Cricetulus griseus: one gene and its partners. The protein of the gene in region 7 interacts with the protein of the main gene of each other region in a pairwise test. Links are inferred from orthologs where the notes say so. Each region holds a gene or a part of one and is shown on either strand. Other genes may lie near its edges. The genes, in order: Marchf5, Ccdc70, Sec22a, Bik, Kash5, Inpp5k and Fate1.

The links.
Region 1: the proteins of Fate1 (region 7) and Marchf5 interact in binary tests that used the Homo sapiens proteins (3 or more experiments, as listed by UniProt). The two-hybrid records come from large-scale screens. The link is inferred for Cricetulus griseus from reciprocal best matches to the Homo sapiens genes FATE1 and MARCHF5.
Region 2: the proteins of Fate1 (region 7) and Ccdc70 interact in binary tests that used the Homo sapiens proteins (3 or more experiments, as listed by UniProt). The two-hybrid records come from large-scale screens. The link is inferred for Cricetulus griseus from reciprocal best matches to the Homo sapiens genes FATE1 and CCDC70.
Region 3: the proteins of Fate1 (region 7) and Sec22a interact in binary tests that used the Homo sapiens proteins (3 or more experiments, as listed by UniProt). The two-hybrid records come from large-scale screens. The link is inferred for Cricetulus griseus from reciprocal best matches to the Homo sapiens genes FATE1 and SEC22A.
Region 4: the proteins of Fate1 (region 7) and Bik interact in binary tests that used the Homo sapiens proteins (3 or more experiments, as listed by UniProt). The two-hybrid records come from large-scale screens. The link is inferred for Cricetulus griseus from reciprocal best matches to the Homo sapiens genes FATE1 and BIK.
Region 5: the proteins of Fate1 (region 7) and Kash5 interact in binary tests that used the Homo sapiens proteins (3 or more experiments, as listed by UniProt). The two-hybrid records come from large-scale screens. The link is inferred for Cricetulus griseus from reciprocal best matches to the Homo sapiens genes FATE1 and KASH5.
Region 6: the proteins of Fate1 (region 7) and Inpp5k interact in binary tests that used the Homo sapiens proteins (3 or more experiments, as listed by UniProt). The link is inferred for Cricetulus griseus from reciprocal best matches to the Homo sapiens genes FATE1 and INPP5K.

The regions. Positions count from the first base shown.
Region 1 is NC_048596.1:24,575,360-24,580,240, forward strand, and holds the start of Marchf5 (E3 ubiquitin-protein ligase MARCHF5), read right to left. Parts: upstream 2,967-4,881; 5' UTR 2,867-2,966; coding exon 2,832-2,866; intron 1-2,831. UniProt on the Homo sapiens protein: Mitochondrial E3 ubiquitin-protein ligase that plays a crucial role in the control of mitochondrial morphology by acting as a positive regulator of mitochondrial fission and as an important regulator of immune response.
Region 2 is NW_023276807.1:61,678,126-61,681,246, forward strand, and holds Ccdc70 (coiled-coil domain-containing protein 70), read right to left. Parts: upstream 1,454-3,121; coding exon 782-1,453; downstream 1-781.
Region 3 is NC_048597.1:54,302,028-54,306,158, reverse strand, and holds part of Sec22a (vesicle-trafficking protein SEC22a), read right to left. Parts: intron 2,113-4,131; coding exon 1,949-2,112; intron 877-1,948; coding exon 682-876; intron 1-681. UniProt on the Homo sapiens protein: May be involved in vesicle transport between the ER and the Golgi complex.
Region 4 is NC_048595.1:380,439,436-380,443,331, reverse strand, and holds the end of Bik (bcl-2-interacting killer), read right to left. Parts: intron 2,623-3,896; coding exon 2,524-2,622; intron 2,030-2,523; coding exon 1,912-2,029; intron 1,476-1,911; coding exon 1,383-1,475; 3' UTR 1,002-1,382; downstream 1-1,001.
Region 5 is NC_048599.1:154,093,185-154,097,992, forward strand, and holds the start of Kash5 (protein KASH5), read right to left. Parts: upstream 2,953-4,808; 5' UTR 2,875-2,952; coding exon 2,832-2,874; intron 1-2,831. UniProt on the Homo sapiens protein: As a component of the LINC (LInker of Nucleoskeleton and Cytoskeleton) complex, involved in the connection between the nuclear lamina and the cytoskeleton.
Region 6 is NC_048600.1:89,088,096-89,092,923, reverse strand, and holds the start of Inpp5k (inositol polyphosphate 5-phosphatase K), read right to left. Parts: upstream 2,984-4,828; 5' UTR 2,712-2,983; coding exon 2,656-2,711; intron 743-2,655; coding exon 635-742; intron 335-634; coding exon 226-334; intron 1-225. UniProt on the Homo sapiens protein: Inositol 5-phosphatase which acts on inositol 1,4,5-trisphosphate, inositol 1,3,4,5-tetrakisphosphate, phosphatidylinositol 4,5-bisphosphate and phosphatidylinositol 3,4,5-trisphosphate.
Region 7 is NC_048604.1:3,690,770-3,695,531, forward strand, and holds the start of Fate1 (fetal and adult testis-expressed transcript protein), read right to left. Parts: upstream 2,920-4,762; coding exon 2,814-2,919; intron 2,319-2,813; coding exon 2,191-2,318; intron 1,268-2,190; coding exon 1,161-1,267; intron 864-1,160; coding exon 788-863; intron 416-787; coding exon 284-415; 3' UTR 1-283. UniProt on the Homo sapiens protein: Involved in the regulation of endoplasmic reticulum (ER)-mitochondria coupling. Negatively regulates the ER-mitochondria distance and Ca(2+) transfer from ER to mitochondria possibly implicating it in the regulation of apoptosis.

The DNA of each region.
Region 1 (4,881 bases), on a different chromosome or scaffold from region 7:
CACGGAGATCTGTCTGCCTCTGCTTCCCGAGTACTGGCATTAAAGGAGTGCGCTACCACTGCCCAGCTCACTTCTTTGCTCTTAACTCCCATGCTAACTGAAGCCAATATTAAGATATCTTTAATAAAATCTTCAATTCTGCTTCATTAAAAAAAGGTTCCATGGTAAAATATACAGATCATGAAACTTATCAATTTAGCCATTTTATGGGTACAATTCAATTAAAGTATATTACATTACTGTGGATATTCACAGGATGTCTAACATTCCAGCATAAAACTGCAATTGCTAAGTATATGAGCAAATAGTGTAGCTGAGATGTTGTTAGTATAAATATATATTTAATACAACTTGTAATTTTCTAAGTATATTTGTCTCCTTTCAAGCTGGATATATATTTTGACAAAATAATGTGGGGATAATATCTAGAAATTCCTATGTATGTAGTGATATATTACTTATGATTTATTAAAGCTTGCCTGAGGATTCAAAAAGCAAAGTTAGCTATAAGTCATAGAAGCCAGGCACGCACCTTTAAGACCAGCAGCCAGAAGCTGGGAGGTGGTGGTACACACCTTTTAATCTTAGCACTCAGGGTTAAGAGGTAGATGGATCTCTGTGAATTCAAGGCTTCCCAGGAACACATGAGATTGAAGTTACTCTAAAAGAGTAACAGATCACAGGCCTTTAATCCCAGCGCTAGCCGGCTATAGAAGATAGAAGCAGGGTCTTCAGTAGTCAGTATCATGCATTCATTCTCCAGCCACACTGAGGAGAGGCAGCAGTCTGAGGCTTGGTGAAGAGCTCTAGGATCAGCCCTTTCAGCCTGAGCTATAGATGACAGCTAGTGGCTGGCTGCTTTACTTTCTGAATCCCTAGGCAAGCTTTAATAAATCATAAATGATATATCACCACATACGTAAGTTATTCTGAGGACAGAACATATTCAGAATAATTATCGGTATTAAGTAAGGGATGGAAATGTAGTTCAGCCTTACAATGCTTACCTAGCATGCATGAAGCTGTGGCTTCAAGTCCCAGCACTATAAAAACTGAGTATCGTGGAAGCAAGAATAGTTGTATTTATATTCCTCATAAATTATATATAACCTTAGATTTTGTTCCTCAGTATTTTATAATAAAAATTTCAAGCTTTCTAAAAGAAAAAAACTGGAAGGGGGCAGAACAAATGTAAGAACTGGGAGATGAGGAGGAGTGCTGTGGATTCATGAACCACAGGTAGCTGTGCTTACCTGTGTAAGACCTGCACAAGATGGGGCCTAGCAACATTACATCAGAGATGGAGGAGGGATTCATGAAGCCCCATGCCCCACCCGGTAACTCTGGACATTGGCTGCTGGAGGAGAAGGGAGTAAATTTAGTGGTGTAGCCACTGATAACTTGCCCACACGCCTGTAAATAACCCAGACCCATGCTTATGCAATCAATCCTAATTAAATACAGTGGAACACATACAAGACATGAAAACAGGACGGTGACTAGGGAGGGGGATGAGCTAGGGTAGTGGAGTGGAAAAGGAGCAAAATACATTTTATATATACATTTCTGCAAAGGGCATCCGGAATTCCCAAGTTTCTGTAAATTCTTCACTAGTACTCACTGGCTTATAAGCGAATCTCTAAAGAATGTAAGACAAGCCAGGACAACATTTAAACCTAAGGATTTTTTTAAAAGTCACCACGTGAAGGTGAAAGTGGAATGCCATCAGAGCAAACAACTATGCAATACCTTCTGGAGTCGATGTGGCAGGCAGTAATCTCTCTGGGCACATTTTAGCATGCCACACCTTAGAGTCAAATAATGATAAACTCTAAGGAAAACCTGGTAAGTGACCAGACTCCCAAACCACTGGAGAAACCAACAACTTCATTAGTTCTGACAACAGAACACCTGCTAAGTCCTGTCCTAGGATTTAGTATAAAACATGAGAATTGCCTTCTCGGGTGGAGCTTTGTGTGACCCCCACCCCCCAATCCTAACAGTTAATGGCTGCTGAACAGGGTGGCCGGTGGTCTATCTGGGGCTGCAAGCAACCACAAACATGAATTTGAACAACTGGTCAGAGAAAGAAGCTGGTGCCTAGGAGAGAAAGTGGATTTAGTCTCCAAAAAGTCACTGGTTGGAATTTAAACAGCAGAGGGCGGTGCAGTTGACTTCTCAAAGAGTTTTACGGGCTGGAGACCCCCAAGAAAGGGCAACTGGTCCCAGTACGAGCCAACACGTTTCTAGAAACTCAACGATCCTCAAGTGTTCAATGTTGCATGCATGTGGCTGTACTCCATAACCTCTACTCCAGTGTGACCGTTAAGGCTCCCTTGTGGATATTCTGACCTTACGGCTTGGGGGCGGGGATGGGATGGGGGTTGGAAGGAGAACCGAAACTCAGGCTTTTAAAAAAGAATGCCTATGCCTGCATTGTGGAGAGAGGCTTAAAAGTCCAAGGGATCATTGCCCAGGAAGATAATCTAGTTCTTCCCAGGGCATAGCTGCCAAACCCTTCACAACATACCCCGGGGGGAGGAGGTGGGGAAAAGAAACTAATTCTATGGGTTAACAACAGCGACCCTTCACCTCAAAAGACAGGCTTTTCAGAAGAAGAAGACCTCACTCCTTTAAGTTTCTAAGTCTAGGACCCAGACCGTTCGCCCAATCTTCCCCTCAGTGCCATCTCCAAACTCGGAGCCTCTCTCCCGGCCCCGGGGCAGTGGAACTCTCGGCGGACGCCAGGATCCGCGCTCTCGGGGCCTCGAGGCCAGCATGGGCAGGCCCAGGACGGAGGCCGGCGGTTCCCGGCCCAGCCCTGCTCGTACCTGTCCAGCATCTGTTGAAGGGCTTGGTCCGGCATCTTCCGCGGAGCCGGCGAGCTCGGCCCTCGCCCGCAGCTCCGCTCAGGGCCAGGCCCGGGGACAATAGCACTGAGAGGCGGCGGAGTAGGCCTCAGTCCCGCGGCGTCCGCGGCCCCGCCACACAGCCTCCCGGCGCGGCTCCGTGAGGCCCGCCGCGGCGGTGCGCGGCCGGCGGGCGTCCGCAGGGGCGGCGGGGAGCGAGGGGGAGGAGCCTGGGGCCGGGAGGCGGCGGTCGCGGCCCGGGTTCCTGCCGGTCCGCCCGGGGTTCCGGTCCATGGACCGCCGGGGCGCCGAGCTGCTGCCGGCGGAGGAGCTACCTCTGTGAGGTAAGAGTCACCGCCTCCGTGCGCGCCGGGGTCACGACGCAGGGGCGGCTCGGAGCAGCCTGGGAGATGTAGTCCTCGGACCGTCCCCGCTAGAGGCTGCACAGCCCGCTGGGACCCCCGCCGCCGCGCCCGCCGCCGCAGGGCCGGCGCCCTCCCGTTTCCTTCCTCCAGGGGGAAAAATGTCCTTCGGGCCGCTGTCCGGGAAGCGGCAGCATGTGGCGCTCCGCTGTCAGTAGCAACAAGGTCAGCGCCCCTTCTCCGCGTCTTGCCCCCTCAGCTCTCGCGCTCAGGTGGGACAGAGCCAGGTGAGGGGAGGTGGCTTGGAGGGCCAGTTTCTGGGTCGGGTCCAGCACGCCCGGCCGCGGTGGCGGGAGGTCGGGCGCTCGGGTCAGCCTCGGCCGCGTCAGAGCCCATCTTCGGGGTGGGACCGGGTGACTTAGTGCGGGGCTGCTCCGGAGGGGCGGGCGGGCGGACGGGTGGGTAACGCGACCGTTCTCACCGGTGTGCGTGAGTGTGTGTGTGTGTGTGTGTGTGTGTGTGTGTGTGTGTGTGCGCGCGCGCGCGCGCGTGGGTGCAGTGTGTTTGTGTGTGTGTGCGCGCGCGCGTGTGCGCGTGAGTGCAGTTTGTGTGTGCGCGCGCGTGTGTGTGCGCGCGTGAGTGCAGTGTGTTTGTGTGTGTGTGTGTGCGCGCGCGCCTGTGCGCCTGAGTGTGCGCGTGGGTGCAGTGTGTGTGTGTGTGTGTGTGTGTGTGTGCGCGCGCGCGCGGGTGTGCGCGTGGTGCAGTGTGTGTGTGCGCGCGCGTGTGTGCGCGTGAGTGCAGTGTGTGTGTGTGCGCGCGCGTGTGTGCGCGTGAGTGCAGTGTGTGTGTGTGTGTGTGTGTGTGTGTGTGTGTGTGTGTGTGTGTGCGCGCGCGCGAGTGCGACGAGAGGATCGGGCGTGGGTGGCGGGTGCGAGAGGACCCCTCTGCCTGTCCAGGAACCTTCTCCGAGGTGCTGCCTGTCGCCCATCCTTCCAGGGCTCGCCGGCAGCCCCCAAAAGGAACGAACGCGTTGGTGAATAAACAGCCCTTGCTTGCTCAGCTGTGGGTTGTCAGGGACGTTTGTTTCTTTCTGCAGCTGGTCACCGTTAACCAGTTCTAGTTTCCTTGACACTTCTAAGCAGGTGGATCAGGGCGAGGGATCAAAAAGGGAGAAGTCACAAATCATCCCCCCCCACCCCCGTCTTCTCTGACGCCGGAGGGATAGCCTTGAGGGAGGAAGGAGCTGTTGTTGACTTAAACAAATGCGTAATTTGGGCGACCTGTGGCGTTTCTTAGTGCTGTGATTGGTGGGTGTTTAGTAATTTTTGTTTACCTGTGCTTACATTTTGTTACAAATATCGGGCCTCTAAATGCCAGACTTGGGAAACCAGGACAGAAGAATTACCTGGAATTTGAAGCTGCCTGGTCTGTGTAACGAATCCCAGAGCAGCCGGGACTATGGTCTTTAAAAAACAAACCCCCAGCAATCCTATAATCCCAGCATTGGAGAGGTGGAGGCAGGAGGAGCAGGAATTCAAGGTCACCCTCTACTATTAGTGAGTTCAAGTCAGTTTCAAAAGAACAAACAAAACCCTACATGTGAATGCCTGGCAGATCTGGGAGGTTCTTCACAAGTTCAAAACCAGCCTAGATTACAGAGACAGACCCTA
Region 2 (3,121 bases), on a different chromosome or scaffold from region 7:
GACAGTTACATTGAAACCTATCTGGGTGTGAGGATCCAGAGGCAGGACAGGGAAGACTCCTGTAGCTCCTAGGTTATCACACCATCAATTTGGAAGGGTGAGTGGAGACTTGTAGGAAGGTTTCCTAGAGGGGCTAATGGCTTGGAAAAATTTACCCGAAAGAGTAAGAGTGAGCTGGGGGCTGAGGTGTAAGATGCATTCCAGGTAAAAATGGCGGAGTGCAGTGCTCTGAGGAGCTGCAGATAATTAATTGAATGTAGGGGATACAGACTGATGAGTTATAAAAAAGAAATACTGACATAAGGTTGGTGGGCAATGGGGTCACTGAGGAGTGACAAGGAATTTGCCAGACTTCTAGAAGTCTGTCAGCACAAGTCAGCCTTCCCAAACTGGCCAGAGTAAAGAGATCACCCCTGCAGGGTGACAGAGGCAGGATGTCACAGCTCCTCTGTCCCTGTATGTCTCTGTCTGACATTGTCTTAGTCTTCTTTAGACAACCTTACAAACCCCCATTCAAGCAGAGGACACTGGAGCCAGCCCTAGTGGCCAGCGATACAGTCTGGAGGATGGGATACAAGAATCACAGAAACAGCATGGCAGGGAGGATGCAGCCAACCTTCCTTGAAGAGCTGTTTTTTCAAACCTCTCCCCAGGACTTTATTATCTCTTTCATGGCAAAGAGACACATTAGTGTCTATTTCCTTTAGAACATGGGGTCACTCTGAACTTGGATCCCAAGCAGTGATGGCTATACCCCGTGGCCCTGTGTGTCCAGTGTTCACTATGCACGGCCACGGGGGAAGGCTGTTGACTGCGGCTCTTCATTGACATTGTACAGACCATTTTGGGGCCTCTGCTCCCCAAGGATTTGGAAGCCACCACCTTCCACCCAGAGGGCTTTCTCTTCCTCCCAGAGGGCATTCTCTTCCTCCCAGAGAGACTTTTTATCCTCCCACAGAGCCTTCTCTTCTGCAAGCAGGGCTCTTTCCTCTACCCACAAGGCCTTTTCCTCCTCCCATAGGGCCTTGTCCTCCTGAAGAAGATTCCGGTCTCTTTCCCATAAAGCATTGTCCTCTCTCCAGAAGGCCTTGTCCTCTTTCCAGAAGGTTCTGTATTTTTTCCAGAAAGTCTTTTCCTCTTCCCGGAAAGATTTTTCCATTTCCCAGAAGGTTTTTTCCTCTTTCCAGAAGTGTTTCTCTTCTTCCCAGAAAGGTCTTTCTTCTTCCCGAAAACCCAGGATCTGGCTCCGGAAGGCCCGAATCTTGCCCCGGAAATCCCATATCTCTTCCCTGAAGTCTTCTATTTTCTCATGGAAATTTTTCATCTCTTCTCGAAAAGCCTTCTCCTCTTGCAGCTTGTGTATTAGTTTCTTCTGACGAATACTGGGTGAGGACAATACCAGAGACCGGAGGCAAGCCAGCCCCATCCATTTGCTCACCTTGAAGGGAAACATCTTTCAATCAGCCGGAATGGTTGGTGGCTGTGTTGGAGGTCAGGGCTGTTGGCCACGTCCAGGTCAGTTGGTCAAACCCTGTGAGTACACCACAGAGAACACGTCCATGAGAATGGGAGGCACTCTGTCTGATGTGGGAAAATTTAACCACTGCTCTCTTAGTCCTATTAGTGAGAGACACGATTTAATACAGAAGAGTGCTGGGTGGCCATGGCTCTGAGCTGGTTGATACAGTGATACATTCAAGGACTAGTGTCCCACAAACAATCTCACCCAACCAAGACAGTGGTGTTAAAGTGGAAATATAAGTACATAAGGGTGATGTGACAATTTAAGGTGGTTGGTGGCTGAACAATTGGGGAGCAACTAAGAGCTAATTAGTGAGCACCTAAGAAGGGCTTCGGAGGCGCTGGCAGTATCCTGTTTCTTTGCTTGGGAGGTGGATGCATGCATGCATGTCACATAAAAATATGTTCCTAAATATGTTGAAGAGAAAAGAAGAAGAGGGGAAAGAGGAAGATGAGAAGGAATGGGAAGAGAAGAGAAGGGGAAATAAAGGGAAGGAGAGAAGAGCAAAGGAAGGAAAAGGATGGGAAGGAAGGGGAAAGGGAGGGGAGGGAAGAGAGGAGGGGAAAGAAGGGAAGGGAAGAGAGGGGGGAAGGAAGGAAAGGGCAATAAAAGAGGAAAGGAAAGAAGAGGGAAGGGAGAGGATAAGGACTCCAAACACTATCATATGTTCAAGGTAGCATGTATTAGGACAATCCATAGTTCAGATATCCAGCAAGGCCGTCACAGTGTGCATGTAGGGAAAGCTGAATGTAGCTAGTGTGTGCACTCAGGTGCAGAGATCCCACTGTGTGCTTTTTGGAAGCTGGGCTTTGTCCTCAGTGGTCCTCACCAGAGCCCCACAATGTAAAGTAGCATTAGACATTTGCAGGAGGTTTTCCAGATTGTCCCTGTGATTTTCTTTCTCTCCTGGTATGGGATCAGAAAGTAAAGAACTTCCCTCCCCCTGTCTCTCCATCACTGTCTGCCTCCTCCTCTCCTTCCCTTACCCCCCTTTGTGTGCATGTGCGCGCACGTGTGTGTGTGTGTGTGTGTGTGTGTGTGTGTGTGTGTGTGTGTGTGTGTACATACGTGTGTGTATGTGTATGTGTATATAAAAAGATGGTGGCTATGGTATATATGGCTGTTGACCTCTCCTCTTTCGAATAACACAACCTGGAAACCTGAGGCTCACCTCTGATTTCCTCCTAATCAGACTCTTCCTCAACTACCGAGCCCTATCATTTCTGACCCTTCACATCTTTTGGAGATACACACTTCCTGTTCCATCTTCCCATGACCACTTCTGGGGAGGATGTCTTTTCCTGCCTGCCTGGTCTCTGGTGTTCTGTTGGTTCAGATTGTCTGCTTACACAGTGGAGCCCCTCCCCCCAATGGATTTCCTGTTGTACTGTACTTGCTTACAAGCAGCCAAAGACTCCATAGGTTGAAAATCAAAGCCAACTGCCCAGTGCTTGTCTATCTCTTTACTTCCTTCTGTCTTTCCACTCTGCTCCATGTGACATATAGTTAGTTCTCTAGACACAACCCGAACAGTTTGACCTCTATACCGAAGCACTGGCTGTGTCCCCACTAAGGTTTCCTTCACGTTCTGGGGTGGGC
Region 3 (4,131 bases), on a different chromosome or scaffold from region 7:
CTAACAAACTGAAGCAAATTATAGGGATAGGGAAAGAAACAAAATGACAGAAGAGTCTTAAGAAAGTGAAGATGTTTTACATGAAAAACTCATGCTAGAAGCATACAAAGGATGGAACTGCCTTCTGCTTCAGCTGGGAGAGGTGACAGAACCTCAGACATGCCAGTAGGCATTAACAGGGAAACAGACATTAGCTTAATCCACAAGGAAATTTTTAATAAGTAGTCCAACAATGGCATACTATACTTTTATGAAATAGTGAGGCCTCCATTTTAAGGAAAAGTTTTGTCCTGTGTACTTTCAGTGGGAGGGGAGATCTGAGTAAATAACCACTACAACTTTTGCAGTTTCTGGTATAGTCAAGATTCTTATACTAAATGTAGCCTATTGGCATAATAGAAAGTACTTTTCAGGCCTACAAACATTTCTAGAAAAATGTTTACAAGGAAATGAAATGTTTTCTTAGCAAAGAAACCTTCTGAGATTGTCATTTGGAAGTAATTTTCAGAATAGTCGAATCTTTAGTAGCCTACTTTATATAACAACTGGGAGAATGGGTTGCTTTGAACTTCCATATTCTTCCATGTAATTGATTTAAAACACTAGAATAAAGCAATTCATTTTCAAGAGTTCCTCTGTTATTTTCTTAGGTTAATAAAATAATTAAGATCCAAAACTCACCAGAAGAAATCTTACCAGCACCTTTACAGTCAACAGAAAATGCAGATGTGACTCCATTGGCTGATCCCAGTGCACACATGGGAATTTGATAAGGGGGCCTCAGCTTGATTTCCATCTGCATGTCAGACAGATTTATTTTTGTTGAAAGAGACCTGGGATTATTATATCGCTGCTTGGTCCTCTGAATGAAGTTATCTATGTAAAATAAAAAATAAATTTCCTTGCAGTCATTTGTTAATTAAATCATTTGAGAGTGTGATGTTTATGGGTATAAATTTTATAAAGTTTGTTATTCAAAGCTATTCAATTTGTGAAGGGATTTCCAATATTATATTTAGCAGGTTGCTATATCATGGAGTCAACAGTTTTACACTCTAAATGTTAAACTCTAGAATGAAGTTACTATAACCAAATATGGACTTCCAGGAATTACAGAAACAAAAAGAAAACAACTTGTATTGTCAACCAATGCCTTAACTTTTATTTTCTTATCTCATAAAATATGCAATCTGTTATTAGCTGTAATTACATACAAATTACACTATAAGCAATATTTTTATAAATCTGTTTTCTTGTTTATTTTTTACAACATTCCGTAGTATGTTCTGCAGAATAAGTTTAGTAGAATCAATAAAACAAATTTCCTAAATATCTTCCAAGCAGAATTTTATTTTTACTATTTCACCTCTTTTGATGTAAAATAAAATCCATAACTTTGACCAGATTTTTCTGGTTGAGCAAACTACTGCCCATAGGCCAAATCTGAACTGCTGTTTTTGTAAATAAAGTTTTATTAGACAATAACTATTCTCATTCATTTATGTATTGCCTGTGGCTGCTTTCAAGTTGCAATATCAGAGCTGAGTAGTTGTGGCAGAGAAGAAGGCCCTTAAAACCTGAAATACGTACTCTTTGATCTTTTCCAGCAAGTGCTTGCCAACCCCTGTTCTACATTAAGCAGACTATAAAAGATTAGCACATAAACACTAAACGGAGTCTGTGGCTTATAAACTTCTCATTGAGAATCTGTCCTCTGGGATTCGTTCTTTGGACTAATAATCACAATCTCCTTCACAGCTCAAACACATTTTTTCCTAATAGACATCCAAATTAAGAACTATAGATCCTTTGCCAACTATTCTATCAAAATCAAGGTTGCAGAAGTTTCTCCCCTACTCCCCAATATTAGATGATAAATTGTTTATCCTGGAGACAGGATAATAAAGAGTACAGAAAAGAACAAAACAAAACAAAACCAGGCCCTTACCAAATTCAATGAAACAGTATGGTCTGACAGCAGTATTTGTCTTCATCATGTTATAAGTAGTAATGAACTCCTTCTGAAGCTCATCCAGGAAAGAGAAGGCCAGAACATTTGGGTAATTTTCAGTGCACAACATCATGTAGCTCACTCCCAGAGAGCTAATAAAACTACAGTGTAAAAAACATTGGTTTTAAAATTTCAAATTAAATCAAGGTAATTTGTTGCTTCACAAGACTGGTTCTATATACCATAAACTGCTGCTACAGTAGCAATGAAGATATCAACATTTATTACATATTCCAGCAACAACTTTAAAGGAACCAACATATAATACTATCTAAAGTTGTGAATGCGTAAGAAAGGTAGATACACTATACATCTAAAATTTCAGCTAGTCATCACAGAGTAGAAAGCAAGGGAAAGAATATACAAAAATGTAAGCATCCAAGTAGCTAAAGGCCAACCCTTCACAAAATCAGGTGGAAATTATACACTCAAGTCAAGAACTGTTCAGAAAAATCTTATGGACACTGACCCTGGAAAGATACACAGAAGTTAGCATGCATCGGGTGACCACTGGGATTGGTCACTGGTCTCTTGAAATCATCATTGAACCAAGAGTCAAATCTTTTAAATTACAACATTGAGGGGGAACGAAATTATATGTATCATTGGAAGGAAAGGAGGAATTTTTTCATTCATAGCAATGACAAATACATAAAAGAGAGAGAAAGGAGCATGTTTTATAGCAAAATGCTGAGAACTCCCTCGTTGGAGGAGGTAATACTGGAATCGGGGGAAAAAAACAAAACACTATTTTAGAGCCATCTAAAAACTGGATCAGGAAAAATTATCATGAATATTGAATTCCCCAGGAGGAAATTTTGAGGTGCCCCAACATATTTGTATGGCATCGTTCTCACCTTCCTAATGCCATGACCCTTTAATACAGTTCCCTCATGCTGTAGTGACTTCCAACCACAAAGTTACTTTCACTGCTACCTCATAACTGCGATTTTGCTACTGTCATGAATCATAATGTAAATATCTGTATTTCTGATGGTCTTAGGTGACCCCTGCAAAAGAATTGTTTGACCACCCCCCAATTGGGGTCTTGGCTCACAGGTTGAGAACTACTGCTTTAAGACATTTTCCAATAGACTGTTTATTAGTTGTAAGAGGAAATCACATAGTAGTAATCAGAGAACATGTTGACCAAGGTATTCCAATATCAGTAATGAGGGACAAGTGGACACATGCATCTCCCTCAAGTAACAACCTAAGAAAAGACATCACTTATAACTGGGGATGTATAGCCTGAATCTAATAGTAAAGAAACATCAAAATAGCCAACACTCCAATTTTTAGATAGGGAGGCATATTCTTTAACAACAAAACAAACAAAAAACCCTCAATGCTGTAAAAAAGAAATAAAGATTATAAAAATGCTCCCAATCAAAGAAATCTAAAAAGTCATGCCAACCAAATGTGATAATCCCTAGTCTGGATCCTGGGCAGAGAGGGCTGAGCTGCTATAATGAATATTTCTAAGATTAAATGATAAAAAAAGCAGGCAGTATGTTACAGTAGCAATATTAAATTTACTATAGCTGATTATGGTATGCAGTTAAGTAAAAACCTATTTCCAATCTTAGAAAATATACTTTGGAATAGTTAAGAAGGCCTGGCCTTGGTATGTAGCTCAGTGGTAGAGCATTTTCCTAGCATAAACAAGCCTTCGATTTGTTCTCCAGCATGCAGGCAGGGTATCGAGGAGAGAAGGAAATATCTGTAAGTTTCTTCCAAATGGTTCAGAAAAAAATAAAATAAAATAAAAACACATAGGTAGGAAAATATCACAAAGCCGAGTATGGAAATACATTATTAGGCCTTCTCTTATTCATATAATTTTTGTAAGCTTGAAATTGTTTCCAAATAATATGTTAACTGTGCTTTAAAACTTCTACTTTAAGCATGGAAACATTTCATTTAAACATGTTACACTGAAATAAAACTTCCTAAAATACAGCATATGCCTTCCTTCCATAAATAAGTGGTGAGTGGAATATAAATTAACCATTTAATGAGTCACCTTTTATTGTACTGACCACACAGCTGGTCAAGCCCAGGAACAGTAAATCATCACAACATTCAGGTTACGGCTCCCACTTGTGTGCTACATCCTA
Region 4 (3,896 bases), on a different chromosome or scaffold from region 7:
AGTTGCCCCACTGTCCCAGAACCCTCCATCCCTCCTTGGGCCTGCTGCAGGGGAGTGGTGTGTTAAGAGTCTCAGACCAAAGCTGCTGTGGCAAATGTGACAAGTGTCCATCCCCACTCTTGAGCACTGGGGGCAATCCTAGTTCTGCTGTTAACTAGGACTGATCTCACTGAAGGCTGAATCTGGCAATAAAGCTTGGGGTTAGGCTCTGGTGTCTAGTTTTATGTCTTGAAAGAGGAGTACCCAAAGCAGGTGGCCTTTGCTCTTCCGAGCATCATTTGTAGGCCCGTGACAATGTGACAGGATGGGAGGTGATACCTACTGGGGACACAAGACTGCAAAGGGACTCAACAAGCATCCCACCCAGACCTGGGAAATTTGGGACAGCTCAAGGACACATAATGAGGGCATTTGGGAGGAGACCAAAGAAAGTGGCCCCTGAAGTCACAGCCACTGGTAGCTACATGGGGAGGGGTATTGCTTGGTGTCTGATGGGAACAGGCAAAGTTCCAGGTGGAGGCCTTGGTTGATCTAGAAAGAGAATGGGACAGGCAGGCCTGGGGGAGGTACTGAGCCCATGGTGGGAGTCTGGCCCTCCTCCCTCGGTGTTTCTTGTGCAGCACACCCCAACACCATAGCTTTTTGTGAGACCTGCACCCCTACCCCCACATACACACAGGAGGTGGGCAGACTTCCCCATTAGGATTACAGGCAGAAGGAGACAAGATGGTGCTGTGGAGCTGGGCCTGGTGGCACAGAGGCAGGCAGAGCTCTGAGTTAGGCCAGCCTGGTCTACATAGTGAGTTCCAGGACAGCCAGACATATTCAGAGAAACCATATTTGGGGGAAGAGGAATGCTTATAGTCCTTGGGTGCAGGCAGAATGCACAGGACTGGGGCAGAGGCCACCCCTCCTCCTCCACCATCTACATCCAGTGTTATGACAGCCCCCAGAGGACCTAGGGGGAGGCTGGCTGCAAACAGCACTTTATTGAACACTTCTGGAAACAACACTTGATTCACTTTATTGAACTCTCCACCCCAAGGAATCTAGTCCAGTAGATTCTGTGCCTCAAGGCTTCACAAGCCAGGGGTGTGGCCAGCACTCCCCCCCACTGGTGGCCACAGGACCAGCCTGCGGAGAAAAGGCAGGCAGGGGTCAAGAGAGGGGCCAGCCAGGCCTCAGGGGCATTTAGCCAGTAATGCCCCTGAGCTATAGTGAATTCATTTGCCTTACAAAAACCCAGAAAATGTGTATGAAATCTCAGCACTATCCTGAGTTAAATATAAAAAAAAGGGACAGTTAGAAAACACCACAGTTAGGGTGCCGGCACCTCTAGGGGGTGGTTGAGGAGCAGGGGCCAGCCCTGCCCCTGCTGGGCTTCACTGAAGCTGCAAATGCAAGGCCTCCCCCAGCAGCAAGAGGACCAACAGCACCATGGGAAACAGCTGTCCTCGGGCCTGGTCAGGTGACACCTATAAGACCAAAAGGGAAGGGAGAGTGAGGCCCAGGGACCACCTGGGGTGAGGAGACAGCTCTTGGGGACTGGGAACAAACATCTATGCACAAGTGGGGGATCTGGGACAGTGTGAATATGGTATTCAGCCAGTGGGGGTGAGCTGGGAGGTGGCCCTGAGACCATAGCTGAGAGAGGGTCCTGTCTGCCAGAGGAAGGGTCTCTGCAGCGGAGACCAGAGGCACTGTTAAGTGTGTACTTGAATCTCGTTGAGTTCAGAGGCCAGCCAAACGGTTGTTGCACTCACTAAGGCTTCTGGAATGGGGCAGAAGTGGAAAGAGGTGGGGAAGACGTAGAGAGGGATGGAGATTGTGGCAAACCAAACAGCACGGCTAAGGAGCTGCTGGCTGCCCTGTGGGCAGGGTAATGTAGACTACAGGCATCAAGGGTCTTACCCAGGTACCAGGAGTCAGGACTCTCCAGGACCAGATTTTTTCCCTGAGGTTGGTGAGGCCTCGAATCAGGCTTCTGAAAATCCCCCTGGCACCCGTCTGGCTGTAGTTGACAGCGAGTCTGTAAGACATGGGATGGGCAAGGTGATTACTGTAGCAGTAGACACTGGACACCTACATGTGTGACTCATTACAGCACGGCGCACAGAGCCTCTGTGCCCCTCGGACATCCTACTCTCTCCACTACGAAAGTCATCTCTTCCCAGACTGCCTTCTGGGTCTCTGCCCGGAGCTGACCACAAGGAACATCCACCCTGAAGGACCCTGAGTAGTCTGTCTTCCTGGGAGACCAACTGAGGGGCTGCCTCTGGGGCCAAGCCCACACTGCCCTGGCAGTTGGGACCTCTCAGGACTGCTGTCCAACTTGACAAAGGGTGATGCTTGATCTACTGTTGAAGCCAGAGGGAAGGCTTGGGGACCCAGGTGGGGGCTGGGAAGTGAAGGATTTCAAGCTTGTCCGGGGACTCCTATACTTCTTTAAGGTTTGCAGGATGCCCTTAGAGTCCAGCCCTGTGCTGGTTCTGGCTCTGCATGTCCACCTGGGCAGCTGGTTACCTGTGCATGGCAATCCCAGGCAGCTGGGCCAGACGGGGCCCCCGAAGACACAGGTCCATCTCATCACCAATGTAGGCCAGCCTCAGGGCCACTTGGTTTCTGCAGGAAGACACAGAGAAGTTTGGTGGGGTTGTGCTGAGGGGCCATACCACCCACCCACCCAGCCCAAATCCTGTGGGACTCAAGGCCCAGAGAGAGGAGGCAGTGGAATACTGGGGGCCAGTAGCAAACCTTGGTGTCCCTCTCATCCATGAAGTACCCTTTGAAGTAAAGGGTTCCCCTACAGGACAGACCACAGACTACTGAGACATCAGGTGGAGGGGCCAACAGGGGACTCCCTCTTGTGGAAATCAGACACGCATTAATGCTAGGAGTGTCTCATGAACCTGCCTGGAAGCCAGGGATAACTTAGCCCAGAAAGACTATCACCTGACCTCCCCTGTAGAGGACCTGGCAGGGGAGGTGCATGGTGGTAACAGTGGATGGTAGGGAAGAGCACTGGGGGTGCTCTGAGCCCCCTCCAGATGGCTTCCTATAGGGTCTCAGTTTATCTTCCCGTTCCAAGACCTGCCCCTGGTTCCTAGTCCTGAAACACTTGTATCTGCACCCTCTCCAGATGTGGCTCTTGTCTAGCCACACTTGATAAACCAAATTCCCAAGTGAGCCAGGCATGGTGGTGCACACCTTCAATTTATAGAAAATCTCAGGAACTAGAGATAGCTCAGCAGTTAATAAACAGCACTTGTTACTCTTGCAGAAGACTCAGGTTCAACTCCCAACACCCGTGTGGTTATTTACAACCATCTGTAACTCCAGTTCAGGGGATACAACACCTGAGTTCTTCAGACACCAGGTATGTATATAGTGCACAGACATACCTGCAGGCAAGCACTCAGGCACATAAAGTAAATCTTTAAAAACGTAAAAGATCTCCAATGGAATGAAAGACACACACTTATGTGGTGAACGCATGTACACTGGACTGGCTGATTTTATGTGTCAACTTGACACAAGCTAGAGTCATCACGGAGGAAGAAGCCTCTGTTGAGGAAATGCATCAGTGAGATCCAGGTGTAGGGCATTTTCTCAATTAGTGACCAATGGTAGAGGACCCAGCCCATGGTGGGTGGTGCCATCCCTGGGCTGCTGGTCCTGGGTTCTATGAGAAGGCAGGCTGAGCAAGCCAGGGGAAACAAGCCAGTGAGCAGCTCCCCTTCCATGGCCTCTGTATCAGCTCCTGCTTCCAGTTATCCTACCCTGTTTGAGTTCCTTCCCTAACTTCCTTCAGTAATAAACAGCAATATGGAAGTGTAAGCCTAATAAACCCTTTCCTCCCTAACTTGCTCTTTGGTCATGGTGTTTTGTCGTATCAA
Region 5 (4,808 bases), on a different chromosome or scaffold from region 7:
TTAGAGTGTGAGCTGAGGATGAAGTGAGCAGCCTGCCCCATACACCCGGGAGGCTCAGGACTCAACCTCTGAGCCTCAGCAGTGTCCTCTAGGAAAGCTACCTCCCTCCTAGAGAAGAATGGGATAGAATGAGAATGGGCCTCTGCTTGGCACATAACTACAGGCACTCATGGATCATCAGAACCACAGCAGCTGCTATTCCTAAAGATGAGTCTGAGGCAGAGCAACAGAAGCTGCCACAGTTGCCTTCCAGCACAAGAATCCCCTTTCTCCCCCTGACACTTCAGGACTCATTGCACCAGTTTGATTTGGACCTTTTCTGGCTCCCATGGGAGGGCTCTAGGAGCCCAGGATAGTTAGGGGAGGTGGACTTCAGCTGGTCTACTGCTCTTCATCATCCAGTGTAACAAAGGAGGACTCTGTGGCCCAGTGAGGACACTGATACATAGAGACACTACCCTAAGACACTCTTTCTGCCCTCTCCTTCCTCCTCCACTTCACAGCTCTGCCCCTGCTTCTATCTTTTTTTTTTTTCTGAAAAGTTTTTTCTGTGTAGCCCTGGCTGTCCTGGAACTAACTACTATAGACCAGGCTGGCCTTGAACTCACAGAGACCCACCTGCCTCTGCCTCTGCCTCTGCTGGACTATAGACCAGGCTGGCCTTGAACTCACAGAGACCCACCTGCCTCTGCCTCTGCCTCTGCTGGACTATAGACCAGGCTGGCCTTGAACTCACAGAGACCCACCTGCCTCTGCCTCTGCCTCTGCTGGACTATAGACCAGGCTGGCCTTGAACTCACAGAGACCCACCTGCCTCTGCCTCTGCCTCTGCTGGACTATAGACCAGGCTGGCCTTGAACTCACAGAGACCCACCTGCCTCTGCCTCGGCCTCTGCTGGGTCCCCAGCTCTACTTCTTTTGAGATATTTCTTCCACTTCTTCCCCAACCTCTCTCACATGTCCAGCTTCTGTCCTGTGTCCCTCCATCCTGTTTTCTCCTGTCTTCCATCTTGTTACTCTGTTCCTAGTGCCTTCTCTCTACTTTGCCATCTCTGTCTTTTATCCCTTGCTTTTCCTGTGGCTGAGTTATTCCCTTCCCAAAGGCAGTCTCAGGAATTGACTTGGCTATGGTCCTAGTTCCTGGTGGCTGCACGCCCTCTGCTGGTGCAGGCGAGGTTTAGATGGCGGTCATTCCCCGTAAGCCAGGCAGCCCTCTCTCTAGTCCTGGCATGCTGGTCTGCCTGAAAACCCTCCTATTTGCAGAGGTTACTCCTGAGGCTGATGTGCAAATCTCAGCTTTGAGCAAAGCTGCAGGCCTGCCTGTAAACATCCAGGAGCCTGGAAGACAAGATACTCCAGCAGTGACCCCAACTGACTATCTAGAGGAAAGAGCTTCTTAATCAGAGGCTGGCTTTCCCTTCTAGCTCATCCTCAGGGGATGGAGAGTCAGAAATCAGAGATGAGGTGAGGGGGGAGACCAGGACAGTAGAGGAAGGAGAGAGCTTCTTGGGGAACAGAGTTGCTGAGTCAGGGCAGAGACAAAGATAGGCAGGAAAGAGAACAGGAGTGAGAGACAGAGACAGAGGCTGGCCCACAGAAGACAGTCGGTTAGCCAGCACCTTCCTCCCTGAGCTGATGTGTGCTGGCTCCCACACCTACGTATCTGAATCTGCCCACAAGGCACTGAGCTTCCACAATGAAGCCGGCATTGCTCTGGCTAGCAGCACCAGTCGGCACAGGCTGCCTGCACTTGAGCAGGCCAAGATGGAACAGTGTTAGTGTGAAACATCACATACTAGTTCTCAAAGATGTCGGAAAACAGGAGTAACTCAGCATGTTCTTATGCTGCTTAATGCAGAAAACAGTTTATATGCATACAAAGCTAAATAAAATCAGTTAATACCATTTGCATCACCTGCTTGATTTGGCCTTTAACTTTCTATCTTCTTGCCTCAGCCCCTCAGTTCCAGGACTACAGATATGAGCCCCTTGCCAGCTTTTCTCTTTTAAAAAAATTAAAAGTTATATATGTGAGCTGAGCATGGTGGAGAGCATGCTTGTAATCTCAACACTTGAGAAACAGAGGTAGAGGGGTGAAAAGTTCAAAGCCAGATTTTGTCTCAAAAAACCAAAAACCCAGAGGTCAGCACAGCTGAACATAGCTCAGTGGTGATTGGTTGCCTAGCACACACAAAACCCTGGATTTCACCTCCTGCACTGTAAGACACACACACACACACACACACACACACACACACACACACACACACACACACACACACACACACACACACACACACACACACACACACACACACACACACACACACACACACACACACACACACACACACACACACACACACACACACACACACACACACACACACACACACACACACACACACACACACACACACACACACACACACACACACTGGGAGTAGAATAGGTTTTGAGGAGCCATGCTCCAGGGGAGAGTCTTAGACTAAGTAGGTGACAGACAGATGCCAGTGTTGGGAAGAGAAGTGCAGCAGGAAGAGACGGGGCAGGGAACCTGTTTTACCCCAAGTAAGAGATCTCACTAGCCCACGATCTGAACAGAGGAGGAATTGGTGGGAAGAGGTGGGATGGTGTGGATATTACCATGTGCACAGCCTTCTGTCCCCAATAGCCCTCCAGAGAGGAGCAAATGGGGACAGACACGTGGCAAGCACACAATCGACACTTCTCCCACCATCCTTTGCTTCTGACCACGCTGCCTGGCCACCTCTCCTGCTCCCACACTGGCCCGCAGCTCCCACTTCCTCCTCTTCCAGGCAGACACCTACTTTGTGCAGTGGAACTACTAGCCGGGTCCTCTGGCAGGTCCATGGACCACTCCTGTTTCTCTGTTGCAGCTGGTGAAGCTCTCACCCTTCCTCCACTGATAGGAGGGTTGGGAAAGGAACAGCCTGCCCAGACAGCTCCTAGAAGGACAAGCAAAGTAATGGCTTCCTCAGACTAGCCACCGCTAAACTGCTCCATCTCTGCCCCAGGGTTCTCAGAACCTGTTTGCCATGCCCATCCCAACTCCAACCTGTTGCTATGGATTTGAGGTATGGGATGGGGAGCAGGCGGCAAGATCAAAGCAGGAGACAAGAGGGTGGGGTCAACTGCTGCCCCTAGGGCTTGTGGCCACCTCTCTCCCCTGTAACCTAGCAAGTCATCATGCCTGTCCTAGAGACTCCACTTTGTGCTCCTCTTGCCGTCCTCAATCTTGCCTTGGGTCCTTGTTCTCCCTGGGCCCACGTCCCAGCCTCCTTCCAGGCTCCAGTGCATCCCCACAGGCTGCAGAGCTGATCTGCCTGGCCATGGTTCCCCATCACCTTGAGGCAGAGCCTGCTTTTTTCTGGCAACAGAGGCACAGTGTGGCCTGGGCCAGCTGCTTTCTCTCCAAATCATGCTCTATCTTCTAGCAACTCTAACCCACTACTCCTACTGTGGTCTCTGCCTGGGACTTGCCTTGCCTTTGTGTCTTGTTATCTAGAAACAGCTTTCACTCTGCCTGGGACTGAATACCAAGCTGAACTGGCTCCCACACTGCCTGGAGACTGCCCATTTTATCCCGAATTTGGACTGCTGGCCGTCTGAACCACTTTCAGCCTTGCTCTCCCTGCCTCCACACTCGTTTGTCACTGAGCCACACTGTCAATAATCTTTCACTGGTGGATTCTAGGCAAGTGCTCTCCTGCTGAACCACACACCAGCCCCACTAGTCAATTCCAGATAGACACTTTACTGCCAAGCTACAGCCCAGCCTTTTCATTTTGAGACAAAACGTCCCTAATATGGCCAGCTTGGCCTTGAATTTGTCATCTCTTTGCCTCATCAGGAAGCTGATTCATCAGGACTGCTTTCTTGCCTTTCTCCCCCTTTAGGTTTATTTTTATTTTTTATTCGAGTGTTTTGTCTACATGTGTATGAACCACATGTGTGTCTGATATCTTTGGAGGCCAGAGGGCATCAGATTTCCTAGAACTGGAGTTACAGATGGTTATGAGTTGCCACATGGGTGCTGGGATTTTCAAGAGTACTGTTTCAGCCTTTGTTTTTTAAAACAAAACAAGGTCCCCCTCTGTAGCCCTCACTGGCCTGGAACTTGCCATGAAGACTAGCCCAACTTTGAACTCAGAGATCCACCTGCTTCAGAGTGCTGGATTAAAGACTTGAGCCATCAAGCTGAAGTGAGCAAGTGTTTTTAACCACTGAACCATTTTTCCTCTCTCCAGGTGATTTCCATGTCCTTTACTCTCCATGACAATGGAAACGCAGCATGTCATCCCCGAGGCCTGCAGCTCCCTGGGTTCTTACCTGTGGGCTTCACTCTCACAGGCCGGTGCACATAGGGACTTCCTCCTCTGCACCCTGACTGACAGTGCTGTCCTGCCTATGTTACAGCCAGGTCAGTCAAAATAAGGGTCACTTTTGTCTGGTGGTGGTGGTGGTGGTGGTGGTGGCGGCGGCGACGCACACCTTTAGTCTCAGCACACGGGAGGCAGAGGCAAATGGATCTCTGTGAGTTTGAAGCCAGCCTGGTCTCCAGAGTGAGTGCCAGGACAGCCTCCAAAGCATCACAGAGAAACCCTGTCTCGAAAAAAAACCAAGACCAAATCAAACCAAAACACAATATAACTGTTAAATTTCAAACTTTCTGGAAGATTGTAGCTGGGCATGTTTGGGAGATCTGTAATCCTAAAGCTGAGGTGTGAGGGTAACAGTTCATGATGGCACACGCCTTTTATGCCTGCCCAAGGGAGAGACCCTGT
Region 6 (4,828 bases), on a different chromosome or scaffold from region 7:
GTAACCTGGAACAGCACAAGGCGGGCAGGAGTTCCAGCGGATCCAAGCGTGGTGTGAGGTTTAAACCTTTTAATGAATGGGAAAGAGCATGAAAAGCTAAGTGGAAGAAAGAGGAACACAGAAGACAATGAGCTGAGTGGGAAAAAGAGAAACACACCATACAAGCAATTGGGGGACAGTGAAGGTGACACACATTCCTCCATTGCCCACAGACTTTTAACTTACCTTGACAAAGTGCAGACGGGAAAGCACATCCATGAAGAGAGTGCTCCATGGGTCTTCAAAAGCAGCATCAGAAAGAAGGCTTATGATTCCAGAATTCATTTCCTGCAAACTGACCGTTCCAAGTCAGGCTCATTCCCAGGCCTGGAGGATACTGCTTCTCCCACAGACATCTGGTACTGGCTTCATCAGACTTTCAAACCTAGGATCTGATGACCAAGATTTCTCCCTTCCCTAGCGGTGTGGCTGTTGATCTTCAATCCATGACCATTGCTGACCCAGGACCAAGACACATGAGGCTAAACCCGATGAGGATGAAAGCTCCTCACCTTCATACTCCAAAATGAAGGGAGGTCAGGTTACATCAGCCCTCTACAGAGATGGAGGGCCAAGGGGTCCTTTGGATACCTACCCAATGATATATATGTCCAGATTCAGGTCTTGGCTATTCAGTTGAAGTAGGTCACTGAGGTCCACAGTGGGGGCTGCTGAGGCCACATTCCATGTCACAACATGTATACTGTAGAAAAGATATTAAATGAAGTCACAGAATGAAGGCTAAGGAATAGGCAGGAGCCTGGGCCTATTAATGGTTTCCATCACAGTGCTCACGGGGAAATGTGTCTGTATGTTTGTTAGTCTATTGTTTTTGAGACACAGTCTCACTATGTGGCCCTGGCTGGCCTCCAACTCCTATGTAAATCAGGCTTGTCTGGAGCTCATGGGGAATCACACTGCTTCTGCCTTCTAAGTTTTGGGATTAAAGTTGTATACCAGGGTTCCGGGCTTGTTTCTTCATCTTGTGGCAGGAAAAGAAGAAAAGGAGCAATAGACTATAAAGGCTTCACCTTCCCTTTCATCTCCTGAACCAGGAGTCTCTTCCCTTGAACTGGGTCCTCTACACAGCTTCATAATTGCCCATACCTCAGCAGCACCTGACACATCGAGCTGCTAGGGGGAATGCGGGAGTTTTGGTAAGGAAAAGGAGGAAATGATGAGATGGACAGCCAGGAGTTTGTTAACCCATTAGCCTTTCCAGCTATCTACACCTCATTGATCCTCTATGGCTCAGTCAGCAACTCTGTACTCCCTCTCCTCACCCTATGGATTCCTAGAGCACCAAGAAGGTATTAGAGGTTGATTGTACTTGATCACAGGCCTCAGGGTTACAAGAACAGAAATTTCAGAAAAGAACAAAATAAACAGCACATTCCCTTCCGCATGGCCTACCTTACAGATCCCTGGAACTCAACAAATTCTACCAAGGCCTTCATGGAGCCTAAGTACAAATTTCTAACTAACAAGATTTTAAGTATCTATCTCAACAGTCTACTGTCTATTGGGAAAAATCATCAGTTTGGGAATAACATCCCAATCTCAGCTCTCGACAAGTCCCAGAGTATCAGGAGAAATAATTAGCAGCTCTTAAACACCATGACATCCCATCACAAGTTCAGGAAAGCAAAGACTTGTAGAGCCCTTGAGTGAGCATACTGCTACAGCAATGCTCCAAGAAGCCCACACTGTTCCCAGGACAGAGCAAGCAGGAGCTCAAGACTCTACAGAAATGAAGCCTGTGAGTTCCAGGAATACTGAGGATCCTAAAAGGGAAGGGCAGTCTGTTCTGAAACATCTGTCCACCAGACCCTGTTCTTAGAGGTACATGTTCTAAGAAGCATGACTCGTAAAACACATTTCTTGGCTAGCTTAAAGCAACTTCCTGCCTCTCCCTGTTAATATAAACAAAATAATACAAAAACTACCTTCTCAGGCTCTCTTGACTGTTAGTTGATCTGTTTACAGTCTCCCCCTGCTGTCCAACAGAGGACTAAGGCAGGTAACCCGTTTATTCAATGGCTTCTTGTATTCCCAGGCACTTTAAGTGGATAAAGAATAAAATTCGGGATTGATCATCCATGTTCTCAGTTTTGATAATTAGCAGCGAATCCATGCACCATGATTACGCTCAATTGGACGATTAGCGGTGTTCCTCGTGATTAAAGAGCAAGCATGAGACCAGGGTTCACTTCTCTAAAGGATCTTATTTAAATCTGATTTCGGATTTGTAGAGATCATAACCGGATCAAGAAGACCCCATGATGTTCTGCTGATGCAAAGTAGGAACAAAACGTCTATTCTACAGCGGAAGGGAAGAATGTCTTAGACACTACTGTCTGTGTGCTCTTAAAAACCAACAGGACACTTGCTTGGGAAGCATCTGCAGTGACCAGTTTGGCAGTCCAAGTTTAGGACGGGCATCAGGTCTAACAGCCCATTCAATATTGGCCTGGCAGAGTCTGGGGGTCCAAACAAGGGCAGCCTTGTAGGCCTGTCCTCTTGATTCCACCGTTTTTGGTGCCCAGCCCCACAAATCAGACTGAAACGAAGACAGTGAACCGCCAGTAACCGATCGGCCTATAAATGCGTCCTCACCTGAGTACAGAGACTTTCGGTGTGCTCGGCCTCCGTAGGCACGCAGCCGACTTCATTCCCACGCCGTGACTCCTCGCTCCAGCCAGTGCGAACCGGAGCAGCCCTTCCTTGGTGGCCAGTATCAGCGGCACTGTTCCCTCCGAATTGTTTTTCTTCCGGATCCTGACTGTGTGCCTCGGCTTCCGTAGGAGGCGGATCGTGAGCGCTCAGGAGTGTGAGGCGCGGTTGGGAAAACAGAGGCGGGACTCCACTGCAGAGCGAAACGCCCAGAGGCGGAGCGGAGATGGGTTCCGAGACGAAGAGACGCGAGTCATCCGCCCCCGACGCCACACCGCCCTCACCGACCACAGTGCGAGTGGGTGGCGGCGCCCCGCACTCCCAGCCTGCCTTGCGCGAGGGCGAGGGCGCGGGGAGCGTTGCGCGCGGCCTCGGGCTGGCTGGCGACCGTCCCGTGGCGTAAAGTTCTGTCTGTCGTCTGCCTACCCTCAGAATCCGGGAGTGGGCAGCGTGGGAACGCTCAGGATAGTCTGTCCGTCCGCTCGGCCTCCCTCACTCCGCACTTCAAAGTAATTTCTGCGGTTCCTTGGGACCTTTGCATTCTTTTAAGTGACTCTCTGGTCGTCGTTTGGTTTCATTTCCCCGAGACAGTCTCGCTGTTATGTCCTGGGAGCTTGTTATGCAGACCAAGCCGAACCTACCACCTCAGAGCCGAGACATGAGTGCACCACTATGCCCAGCTCGAACCTAGTTTTGCTGAATACAAAGCACATTCTGGGATTCCCGGGCTCGGAAAATGAGCCATCAGTGAATGACACACAAGTCGTGGCTCCTATTTAGTGTATATTGGACTCATATCACTATTTACTTTGGCAGACTCACTTTGATTTATTCCCTTTAGGTCTTTGGTTATAATTTCTTGAAAGCAGAGAGATTGTTTCCCGAATTGTTTTACTAACAATCTCCATGAGATTCACACACTGGAAAGTCAAGTTAAAGATCCTGCTTTTTAGCACCGCACGGTGGGTCTCACCTGTAGTACCAACTACTCAGTGGCGCCCAGTTTCGAGAACTCACAAGCATCCTGCTACTTTAAATGTATGTCCTGGGACAAGGTGTAGTGGTGTGTATCTAATTCCAGGACGCTGAGGCAGGATGTTACTCAAGTTTGAGGCCAGCTTGAGCTGCCTTAAAAGAGTTACAGGCCATCAGGACTGTGGTGTGATCCTTTCTCAAAACTGGGGGGGGGGGGGGAGAGCAACCTCTGGTTACCAAGTCTTTAACACCTTCCTGGGGTGGATGGAATCACTCCAAGTTGTCCTCTGACTTCCAGTAATAAAAATGTAAGGGCTGGAGAGGTCTCAGAGCACTTACAGAGGACATGGGTTTGGCTCTCATTACCCACATAGTGGCTCATAACCATTCTAAATACAGTTGCAAGGGATCCAAGGCCCTTTTGATTTCTCTGGGTACCAGGCATGCCCGTGGTGCACATTACTCTTAAAGAAAAATACAATTTAAAACAAAATAAAAACAAAACAAAACAGCAGTAGTGACTGTTGTCTGTTCCCACTTGCAGTGATGTGAGTGAACCTGGTCTAGTATTCTCTGTAGACCAGACTGACCTCCACCTGCCTGTGCAATGCTTGGATTAAAGCCCTGTGGCACCATGGCAGGCCAGCCAGCCTTTAAACAAGATTTTATTTTAATTGTGGGGGTGGGGCGGTGTACAGGAGTGCAGGTGCCTGGTGAGATTTGGAACATCTGGAGCTGGAGTTACAGGCATCAGTAAACTCTGATGCAGGTGCTGGGAACTAAACTCAGGTCCTCTGTAAGCAGTACATGTTCTCAACTGCAAGCCATCTCTTCAGCCTCCAAACGGTGATTTTTTTCTTTTCCAAAGCCCAGGCACGCTTTTCCTGATGCTTTGGATTTTTCACTCTTCACCATGTGGCTGCTCACAAAAGGGTTAGTCTTTTCTTCAAACAGTTGCCAAGATTTACAGCTTGCCTGTCCTGTTGTTTTCCCTCTCAAACTAATTTGTCCACAGCTTAAAAAAAAAAAAGAAAGGAAGGGGCTGGAGAAATGGCTCAGAGGTTAAGAGCACTGACTGCTCTTCCAGAGGTCCTGCGTTCAATTCCCAGCAACCACATGGTGGCTCACAACCATCCATTAT
Region 7 (4,762 bases):
TCAGGGCTGGTGCCATCCTTTAATTCCTCCAGAGGAGAGGCATCTCAACCCAGGCATACCTGTATGGTGCTACCCAGTGGTTCCCTAGCCTCGCAGCAGCTAGAATCTCACAATAGAGTGAGCGTATCTCCAGGCAGAAGGCCCAAGCAGAGGGGTAAAATGACCCAACTGCTACCTGGGGGGCTGCTGGGAGATAGAATGGCGTGGATAAGGGCATCCTTGAAAGCAAAGGGAAGACGAAAGAAAGGAATGGCTCTAATGGGGTTGTGGTGTTTGTGAAACTTTACTGACGCATCCAAAGCCACAGGTTGGCTATGCAGACTGAGACCAGCAAACTAAAGAGCACAGCCTCCTTATGGCGCCACGTGGCATCCTGGTCCTCAAGGGCACGCAGCCGCCCAGAAATCACTTGCATCTGTGGAAGGACCAAACACAGGACTTGTGAGCAGGAATCACTCTTATGAGAAAGGCAAGACATAAGGGTAGGGGGAAAATATGACCAAAACCAAAATGAATCTTTGTTCCCCCTTCCACATCCTTTTCTCTTCCCCAATTCCTGTCCAGCATCTCCAGCATAAAGGAAAGTCAAGGGTGAACATCAACATGAGGTACTCAAGGCATGAGGCCTGAGAAGAACAGAAAGGAGAGCCCAACCTCACTTCATTTGCTACAGGATATGATTTGGACAAAGGCTATGAAAACTCGGGGGTGGCTTTGTTCACAACTGCCAAAATCACCCACTCCAAAGCACTATGATGCTTCCTCCAACTATACAACAGATGCTTACCTGCCTTCTCATGACTTCCATCTCCAGCCCATTGAGTTCTTCCAGGCCAATCTCTGCCACTAAATCTGCCTCCAGACTGTTGGAAGGAAAGGTTACATGGCTCAGAGGTGTTGGTGGCCATAGAAAAGACACAGAGCAATAAGGTATGCCTGAAGGCTTTTTGGATAAAGATCCCAGTCCTTCCCTTGTGTAGTAAAGAAGCCGGAGGCTTTGCCAAAGCATACGTAGATCCCAAATGGCCAGGAGGCAATAGTATCCCAATACTTCAAGTATATACATCTGCTTCTCGACTCGGATGCTCACTAGTCCCTATGGCCCTACCCTCTGCTTGTTCCTCCCCCAGTAGCTAGGAACAAGACAATTGAACTCTTACCGCTCATAAGGGACCCTCCCTGTTTGGAAGTTGCCAGGAAACTCCTGGAGATAGCCATCCACCTGACTGTGATCTCTTGGCATCCGGGGCATCTGCACCTGATGACCCTACAGAAAGAAAGGATACACCATTCCAAGTCACCCTTTTAGCACCGCATTGTGCATGAATCAACAGTACACCCCATAGGAGCCCCATGATGTCATTTCATCTTCCTGTGCCCCCCCCCACACACACACCATGCCTATTGGTAGCTTCTAGCCTTGTGTGCTGTGCCAAGGAAAATGCAGTGACAGGCTTCTCTGTCTTTTGGTAGAACTTTTACATGCAGGCATCCCTTGAAAACCCAAGCTACCTACTGAAGATGAATGTAAACCTTCAAGATGATTTTAAGTAATTTAAAAGAAAACATCATTTCACACCTTGGAAGTTTATAAAGAATTGTATAGTCATCCCTTGGTATCCATGGAGACTGTTTCTAGAATAAACGCCTCACTATGGTTATGCAGCTCTGCAGATTCCCAAGTTGCTTGTGTAAAAGGTCATAATATTAGAATATAGCATAATCATATCTTTTTATATAATTGAAATAATTACTATATTATTTATAATGTCTAATAAAATGTAAATGCCATCTAAGTAATTCTTATACTATATTGTGTAGATAATCATTGCAAGAAAAACATCTTGCATGTATTCTCTAGAGATGTAATCACTCCACCTCCACCCACAGACAGTGTCCATCTGTGATCGATTGAGCCAATGGATGCAAGACCTAGGAATGTAGAGGGTCAACTATAGATGCATTTTCCAGTCAACATGTTTGCTAGGCATGCAGACTTCTAGCATTGAAGTCCCAGCATTATACAGTACAACCCTAACCTTCCAATGATCTACCCTTCATTCATTTGCTTTATTGGTATATGGAAGCTTCCTCCTCCTAATGATCAACTTCTAGCTATATCTACCATGGGAATACAGGAGCCCCAAAGTAAGAACTTCCCACCCTAAACTAGCCACCATTTGTCAATACCCCTTTCTTGGGACGAGGTCCAGTCACATTCCAAAATGACTGGCCTGAACCAGATCCAGCAGGTTTTTGCTCTGCCCTTGGACGTCTTTGGATTCCTCCCAGTGACCGGGACCCACGTTCCATCATTTCTAGAAAGAAGAACAGAGACTGCTATGAATACTGCTTTAAAGGTTTTACCAGAACTTTCTGGGTACTGAAAACAGCAGAAATCACTCAATACCCATTCACTTCTGATGCTCAGCCTATTTGTCCATCTGTTCAACAGGTCAGTATGTATTTACTGAAAATCTGGCCCTGGGCCTAGGATTCTGTAGCATGAGCAATGATCAAGAGATGAAATCCCAAACACAAACCATCTCTATGTATGAGAGAATAGGAAATACCAATAATAAAATCTTCCATCCATGTAAATTCAGATATGTAAATGGTTCATGAATGATTAAAAACCAAAACAAGCTAATATGGCAAAAGAAAAGCATAAATCAACACTGAAATACCTAAAACAAACGAATAACCTTCCAGACTAAGTAAACAGCATGCACAATGACTGGGATGTTGTAGAAGCAGCACAAGTAAACGCACATGATTAACTATACCCAACAGGCTTTTTAGGGGATTCTCACCTGACATCACTGGTTGTTCTTGGCTTTGGTCAAAGTTTCCAGTCCCTAGATCTTCAGAAATGGACATTTTATACCCTTCTTTGACATTGGAAGGGCTTTCTGCCATCACCACCAGGTATTCATTTGTAAGGTTGTTCAGGGTGGATGGCACAGAGAAGACACTTGGAAGCTCGCCTCTTCCAGGGGTAGAAATGTGAGGGAGATATACTGGCACAAGAGGGTGGAGCCAGTTCTCCCTCTCTGTGCTCAGGCCTTGGATTGGCACCTTGAGTTCCCACTGTATCTTGTTGGTGGGTCTCGTGGCCGCCTTCTCTTCTGCTGTGTAAGCAACTTGGAGATGAGATAGTGCTCTAAGTGGTACTGTTTTTGTGAGCTGCCCTGATTCATCTCCCCTTGATTTTGCTACTCACGGGTAGGAGGATCCCATCCTCCATCATGGTCTAGAAAGAGACAAGGGCTGGCATACGGCCCAAGCATCCATAAGTGCCCAAAGCAGTGACAGGTCCCATGCTTATCATGGTTTCTACAAGCCCATGACTGGCCAGTAATCTAGGGTACAGCACTCTATCAGAGGAGCTTCTCTGTACAGAACATCCTGCCTCCTCCAATGCAGAGTCTTCAAGCAAAGTAGATGGCCTTGTCTGATATGAATCCTGGGAAGGAAGCAGGGAGGGGCAAGAGGGACATGCTGGGCTTGTGTACCCTGCTGTATGTTTCAGCTCTGCCTCAGTTTTTCTACAGATTAGACCAGATGTATGTGTCAATTTAGTCAGGTTCTGATCCCCAGTGAGTTTATCAGACACTCAACTCTCAGTATTTCTGCAAAGGTATACTGCAGCTGTGATTATTATCCCTAATGGACTTTAAATAAAATGGCTTCCTCCCAGTCAGGTGCTTGTACTCAACCAATGTGCTGAAAGAATCAAGTGCAAACCTTAAGGAATGGGTCAGTGAGTGGGATGACCCCATGCCCCAAGGTTCCCAGAGAATGAGGGAAACCTGCCACCACAGCCTGCCCTGTCAGGGTGCTGAGAGGCATTGGAACAGCTTCCATAGGCTCACGCCGTCCCGGCGCTCTTGGGCCTTGGACTCAGCACTCCCAAGATGATACAGACAGATCCAGATAAAGAAAAACCTCTAAAGGTTTACACTGCATTTAAAAATATATGTAGGCTTGTGAGAGAAAAAATAACAGGAGGAAATAGAGTAGCTGGGTGTGGTGGCTCACGCCGGTAGGATTTGCTGAAGGAAGCAGAGGCAGGCAGATTTCCACAGAGAAACCCTGTCTCAGAAAAAATAAACGAAAGATAGTAAAAATAAAGTAATAAAAAAGCCACATAAAGACGGAAAATACACAGAGAATCTGGATACTATATGCCATATTGTTCTCTTTAAATTGTTTGATTGCCAAGGAAAGACTTACTGCTGCTAAAATACATTTGATTATAAATGCTGCTAAATTAATCCAACTTATACATTTCAAAAATGTTCTAACTTCAAAATTTAAGATTAAGGACAGGGTACTTAGAAATAAAGGTTTTGCTTGTATTTCCACAGAAAATGAAAAGCTGTTGATTCCTTCAAGACTAATATGGTTTGATCAAGCAAGACCCCCTGAAGCTGAGATGATACAGCCTTACAGACTACAAAAACAAGGACTTGGTCAGGTTTCTATATTTTATCATGATCCCAATGGTATGAACATCTCCCCCAATCAGCAGGAAGCAGTTTAGAAAGAATGACACCCATAGTCCCAAATAGTGTTTATAAATGTTTGTTTTCATTTAAATAGGGTTGGTTATAAATGATAATGAGCATAGTCAATTTTTTAAAGAAAAAAAGGGGAATAGGATATAGGAATGAATACTTTGCATTGGTATAGATTTTCATTTATTGATACAATTTTAAGGTCAATTTTGTGATATGTATATGTCTCCTCTTGTTTAGGT